Rattus norvegicus: one gene and its partner. The protein of the gene in region 1 interacts with the protein of each later gene in a pairwise test. Links are inferred from orthologs where the notes say so. Each region holds a gene or a part of one and is shown in the gene's direction. Other genes may lie near its edges.

Region 1 (3,424 bases):
ATGGTTTTTGTTTGCATGGCCACTGGGGCCTAAAAGTGGAGGCCTGTGTATGCTGGGCTCCTGACCTGGCCCAGAGCTGTAGTGCTAGCTCCACCAAGCCATCTCTGCTGATAGTTTCCCTACTTTATTTTTTTAGTTTTTGTTTTGTTTTGTTTTTGTTGTTTTTGTTTTTGTTTTTGTTTTTCGGAGATGGGGACTGAACCCAGGGCCTTGCGCTTGCTAGGCAAGCGCTCTACCACTGAGCTAAATCCCCAACCCCACCCTACTTTATTTTTTAACTATGTAACTTTGTGTGTTTTTTAACTTTGTGTGTCTGTATGTACGTGACATGAGTACAGGACCCCTGGAGGCCAAAGGCATTAGATCCCCTAGAAATGGACTTAACAGTGGTTAGAGGCCAACATGTAGATGCTGGGAATGAAACCCGGGACCTTTGCAAGAACAAAGCCATTCATTGGTCCAGCAATGAGTTTTTGGGATTTTGTTGAGGCAAGGTCTTCCCTTCTCCCCCCACCCCCACCCCCCCCCCAGAGCTGAGGACCAAACCCAGGGCCTTGCAGTTGCTAGGCAAGCACTCTACCACTGAGCTAAATCCCCAACCCGAGGCAAGGTTTTATTATGTACTCTTGGCTGATCTTGCCATACAGACCAAGCTGGCCTTGAACTCACATCACAGAGATCCACCTGCCCTTGCCTGAATGTTAGGATCATCAGTGAAGGCTAGCACGCTCCAACAAGCCATCTTTTTGTTGGTTTTTGAGTGGTTTTGTTGTTTGTTTTGTCAACCCCCCCCCCCCCAAGCCGGTTTGTTTGTGTAGCCCTGACTGTCCTAGAACTCCCTCTGTAAACCAGACTGGCTTCAAAGGCACAGAGATCCACCTGCCTGGGCCTCCTGAGTGCTGGGATTAAAGGCATGGGCCACTACTTCCCTGCCCTGCCCTGCCCAGCCCTGCCCACAAGCCATCTTAACAGATTCTCCCTGTAGGACTATTGGATAGAACAGGTACCAGTCAGCCAGAGCGCTGTGGTACATACCTATAGCTCTAGTACTCAGGCTAGGACACAGGATCATGGGTTCAAGGTCAGTTTGAGCTACACATTTAATCCCAGAACTTGGTTTGAAGACAGCCTGGTCTACAGAGTTTCAGGACAGCCAGGGCTGCACAGAGGTGTATATCTGGGGTATGTCAGGAGGGAGTGGGAATTGTGTCAGAAATGGAAAAGGCAGCATTCTGGACCCCCAAAGTGCATGAACAGCACCCCACTCGTATCTACACCCCTTCCAGGTGCGGTTCCCATCCCACTTCAGCTCTGACTTGAAGGACCTGCTTCGGAACCTTCTGCAGGTGGATCTCACCAAGCGCTTTGGGAATCTCAAGAACGGGGTCAATGACATCAAGAACCACAAGTGGTTTGCCACAACTGACTGGATCGCCATCTATCAGAGAAAGGTGGGCTTCTCTTCCCCATGCCCCAAGTTGGAAAGGCAAGGAATTATGGATAGGATAATACAAACAGCCCAGCAAGTTCAGGACTATATGGGGGATGCTGGGCTCTTCTGGCCACTTTGTGGCCGTAAGCAGGAAATATCCTCTGGGAAGTGACTTCGTTTGGTGAGTTGGGTTGCAGAGAAGACACTCCACCTGAATGGTGAGCTCAGGCCTGGGTCCCAGCAGTGTCTTCTGAGTATTAAGCCATTCATTTTTATTGTAATGGTAAGGTCAGCTAACGCACTCTGGCTGCTTCTTAATCCCTATCCAGGTGGAAGCTCCCTTCATACCAAAGTTTAAAGGCCCTGGGGACACGAGTAACTTTGACGACTATGAGGAGGAAGAGATCCGGGTCTCCATCAATGAGAAATGTGGCAAGGAGTTTACTGAGTTTTAGGGGTGTGCTTGTGCCCCATGGGTTTTCTTTTCTTTTTTTTTTTTTTTTCTTTTTCTTTCTATTTTTTTTTCTGGTTGGGGGTGGGGGGGTTGGATCGAACAGCCAGAGGGCCCTAGAGTTCCATGCATCTAATTTAACATCCACTCCACACCCCCAGGGTTAAGGAGAGCAGGAAAGTCAGATACTGGGGAAGGGGCAACATCAGCTGCTCCCCCTCTCCCTTCACCTCCACCCTTCCCTGCCTGTTTTCAATGAATTTCTTAGCTCCAGTCATACTCAATCTTGCTGGTGTATCCAGGGGCGAGTAGGGAAAGAGGGGCCCAAATTCAGCCTCCACCCCTACCCCAGCACTGGATACTAAGGATGAACAGTAAAGCCAACCTTCCCTTCCATGCAGCCCTACCTGGAAAGGGAGATTTTATGACCTGTACAGAGGGCTGCTTGCCAGTGGGGTTTTTTTTTTTTTTCCTCATTTAAATTAAGTTCCACCAGTGCCTCCCACCCTCCAAATTGTCCCACCCCTCTCAACCCCACCCCCACTCCCTAAATCCATTCTGATGAGACCCGGGTAGCCAACTGACTCTGTCAAGGAAGGAACTGGGCTTGGAACCTCGCCCTGAGCTGCTAGCCTCCCGGCCCCCCTTTCCAGTGGTCTCATGCCAATTGTTCTGTGCACCAGCCCCCCTAAGAAGCCCCTCCCCATCCTGGGCGCTCACTTCTAGCTTAGCTGTCAGCTGTCCATCACCTCTTGCCGTGTGTCCCCACTCACTGCACCCCCAAAAGCACTCTGATTGTGCTTTTTCTCTCAATAGAAAGGTGGGGAGCTGCTGGGGATATGACCCCGTTTATCCCTGTGTTTATCCCTCTCGTAACTTCTCCCAAAAAGGAGGAGCTCTCAGGCCTGGGTGGGGGCCCCGGGTGGGCGAGAGGGGCCGTTCAACCTGTGTGCTTCGAAGGATGAGACTTCCTCTTGAACAGTGTGCTGTTGTAAACATATTTGAAAACTATTACCAATAAAGTTTTGTTTTAAAATAAAAGTGTCCCTGGTATTCCCGACTTCGATCACACCCTCAGGGTGTTGGAAAGGGAATTTCGGACCTCAGTGTCCATCCTCTGGAGACCCCGGCCTCCGGACCTTGGAGAAACCGGGTTTAGCTGGAATTCCTGTACTTCCTCCGCCACACCAGAAAAAGGAGGGGTGGGGTGGGCAAACTGTCCTTTGACCCTGAGTTCGGGGCCCTCAAATCTGCTCCCACCCCTACTTCAGTCTAGTCCCGGACCGAGAGGGCCGCCGGGACCGGTTCGGCCAAATAGGATTAGCAGAGTCGAAGGAGAAAGGGGAAGCCCCGCGCGACCCCCCGGAGTCCTCGTGTAGGCGAGGCAGGGCCGCTAGTGAGGTCTCCGCGGCTCCCAGGAGCGAGGCGCGTCGGGCCGCGACGCGGCTAGTTCCCGGTAAGTGCGGTCCCGAGAGCGCTGCGCGCGGAGAGGCGTGGAGAGGGGGCTGGGCGCCGAGGACGTCTGGGTCCCGCGCCCAATG
Region 2 (3,500 bases), on another chromosome or scaffold:
AAAATCCTTCTCTACTTTATACTTTGTTCTCTTTTTGTTTCTGTTAGAGATGGTTATTCAGGCAGGCCAAGAATTCTCTTGTAGCCTAGAGCAATCTTGGATGTATGGTTTTCCTGTCTCAGCTACTAAGTGTTGATTAAGGCTATGGGTCCTGTGTATCTTGTGTTGTCTTTTCTTTATAGTCACAGACTCTTGATGGGCATTATTTGCCTTTTCTGGAGGTATCTTTTGGTACTGTCTAATACCTATGAGCACCCGGGTATTTAATGGGAGTTTTGTTTTGTGATCTATTTACGCCCCACGGCGGCACTCATTGAGCACAGCAGCACACTACAGTTTGGAGACTTGTGCCTAGCTCAAGTCTGAGGGGTTTTTCTTCCAGCATCATTAAACCCTGTTGATTAGGGACTTCCAGCTCTCTAGCAGTGGTTCAGCTACTTAAACCATAGATGTTCTCTTCACAGACATATAGTAGACTTGCCCTGTGTTTTCCTGTAGGACCGGGTGACTTTTAGGAGAATCATAGTGAAGAACAATGCAAAGAAGAGGAAGATGTTCGAATCGTTTATTGAGTCTGTACCGCTCTTTAAATCACTAGAGGTAAGGCTTACGAGAGTCTGTGTATGTGGTTCATGAAAAGCTGTTAAAACTGCTCTTAGGTCTTCAAATAATACTGTTCTGATCTAGTTGTAACAGTGACAGTCAATCAAGGTTTTATCCTCATACTGTAACTATATCCGTTACTTAGATGTCAGAACGAATGAAGATTGTGGATGTGATCGGGGAAAAGATCTATAAGGATGGAGAGCGAATAATCACTCAGGTGAGTTGGGGGCTCACACAGCTCCTTTTCTGGAAGTCCCCATCACAATGAACAGTGTGACCTGCTTGCGGACTGAGTATGGTAACGCACATCTGTCATGCCAGCATTTAGGAGAAGTAAGCTGGGTGGTGGTGGCACATGCCATTAACCAAGCACTCAGGAGGCAGAGGCAGGCCAGTCTCTGAGTTTAAGGCCAACCTGGTCTACCCTGTCTTAAAAAATAAAACAGAAAAAAAAAAAAAAAGAATGGGGGTGGGGGTGGGGCTCTGAGTTTGAGGCCATCCTGCTCTACATACCAAGTTCCAGATCACCCAGAGCTGTTTAGAGATCCTGTCTCAAAAAAGGAAAAAAAAGGAAGGAAGGAAAGAAAAAAAGAAGAAAAAAAATCACTGGAAGCTCATGTTGTCCCTTCTATAGAGACCTCTGAATGCTGTTCACTGAGGCCCATCTCCCTGAGACGTTAGTTGAAGTACCAGGGACTGAACTCACATGCTGAGCAAAGGCTTCTGCCACTGAGCTGGGTCCTTGGTCCTTTTTGTTTGTTTCGAGACAGCGTGATCAAGTCGTCCTAAACATGGAAGCCTTCGAAGTCTCTGCGATTGCACCATGTGCTGCTAGGCTCGGACTGCATTCATTTAGGGGTGGGCTTCTGCCGTTTGTTCTAGTGGATCTAATTTTCTTTTGACCCTGAGTAAACTTTATTAGTCTGTACTAGACAGCTGGGGCTTACGCTCCCTTAGCCCTGTGCTGACACGGGAATCCTCAGCATCCAGTGACTCCTTGATATAGAGACCCTTTGTGTCTTTCTCATGTTATTTTTAATAATGTTAGATCCCACACAGTAAACTGGACCATTATACTTAAAGAAGACTGCAAACTGGGCATAGCAGTGTATGCCTAAAATCCCAACACTTAGGTAGAGGCAAGTGGGTCGGGAGTTCAGGACCACTCTCAGCTACATAACAACTTTTGGCTCTCCTGTTCTACATGTAATATCTTTTAGAAATATTTCCTCTGTCTACTGTGTTTGTATTTTAATTACATGTAAGTAGTTTTAGAAACTTTTCCAGATATAAACTTACCTGCCCATGGATCTGACAAGACCACTGGGGAAGGAGTCTGGCTGAGTCCAGGTGGACAGTGTATAGGGCCTTGTTCACCCAGCTGTGGTGAAGAGGATGGTTTCAGGTCAGGGTGGATCCCAGGCCTATGTGCTTGAGTCCCATTCATAGAGCTGGCCCCACCCAAGCCTTGAGAACTAGTCAGACTTACAGTGAAGGGAGAGGAGAGCCCACTACAGCACTGACAGAAGTACCCTGTTCATCCCAGTTCCAGCTCTGAATGGCTCTGCTTGCTAGGTGAAGACTGGGGTAAACAAGACTCAGTAAGGCCCACTGTGATGTGTGATGATGCACATGTGCAAAGTGAGAGTGTAGAATAGAGGTAACTAATCCGTGTTACTCTGGAAAGGAAACTGCAAGTGCTTGTTTTTTACAGGTTTATACAAAACTTAATTTCTTCCTTGAATATGCAGAGTACAAATATGATGAAATGTCCGTGTTTACTTTATGAAGTAAAAAAATCTGCTCACATTTATATTATAAATTTATTAAGGCAATGAACTGTATAGAAAAAGCCCTCATTTGTTCTGCTTAAAGCATTGCATAAGCCATTCTGCACATTAAACATTGCACTCCAGTGCATGACATGCTGTCTGCATAGCATGCTGGCCAGTGAGGCTGCGGGTGTATGCTGGCCATCCCTAGGGGGCTTCTATCTTTCATCTCAAGTTATTCTGCCCACAGTTTCAGGGGATACCAGCTCATCATGGAGGCAGGAACAAGTCAGGCCGTGGTAATCAGAAAGAGAGTGAATGAAAAACAGGGGAATGTCTCTCTTAGTGACAGAGTGAGGCCCCGTGTTCCAAAGGTTCAGTAACTTCCCAGGAAAGTGTCTCCAGATGGGGACAAGAGGTCAAATACATGGACCTTTGGGAGACATTTTGCATTCACACTGTGACACAAAAGTCTTTCGGGTTTTTGACAGGATCTAACTGCATAGCCTAGGCTAGCTTCAGACTCACAGCAGTGTTTCTGCTTTAGCTGGCTGCGTGCTGTGGTTATAGCCATGAGCCGTCATTCCATGCTGGAACTGGTGATTCACTCAAGCGAATCAGCCTCAAATGGTGTCTCTCTGTTTGGGGTTTGAAGTGGTGGGTCAAGCAAAAGACTGACGCTTGGCAGGGCGGACTCTTACTGAAGACAAAGTCCACACCAAGCTGGGCATGTGGGAGTGCACTTGGGAGGCAGAGGAAGGGGTGCTGATGAAAGTGAGGCTAACCTGGAGACAATGCATGCCAGGCCAGCCAGAACCACGTAGGCAGACCTGTCTCAGAACAAAGCACCAACCAGTAGCATGTGACTGCCGTTGTTCTCCGTGGTTTGACCCAGAGCTAACTGTGAGGGTGAGAAAGTGGAACAAGCCGAAAGCTTTGTCTCCTGTCTGCTTGCCTGAGTCTCTCTTCCTTCCAGCTTTTGCTCAGATTTCGCCTTTCCCTAAAGCTGTGTTGTCCACAGTAGCCTGTCCATCTACCGCCAGTTGAGAGCCTGTGGTCCCTGTCCTGTTCTTGTCCTGTAGCACTTGCCACCCTCCCACACAGCTGTATAACTTATTATTA

Evidence for each region.
Region 2: the proteins of Prkaca (region 1) and Prkar2a interact in a protein complementation assay, tested with the Homo sapiens proteins (2 studies listed by BioGRID). The link is inferred for Rattus norvegicus from reciprocal best matches to the Homo sapiens genes PRKACA and PRKAR2A.

The regions. Positions count from the first base shown.
Region 1 is NC_086037.1:41,059,343-41,062,766, reverse strand, and holds the end of Prkaca (cAMP-dependent protein kinase catalytic subunit alpha), read left to right. Parts: intron 1-1,286; coding exon 1,287-1,451; intron 1,452-1,761; coding exon 1,762-1,887; 3' UTR 1,888-2,924; downstream 2,925-3,424.
Region 2 is NC_086026.1:118,323,608-118,327,107, forward strand, and holds part of Prkar2a (cAMP-dependent protein kinase type II-alpha regulatory subunit), read left to right. Parts: intron 1-498; coding exon 499-600; intron 601-748; coding exon 749-823; intron 824-3,500. UniProt on the Homo sapiens protein: Regulatory subunit of the cAMP-dependent protein kinases involved in cAMP signaling in cells. Type II regulatory chains mediate membrane association by binding to anchoring proteins, including the MAP2 kinase.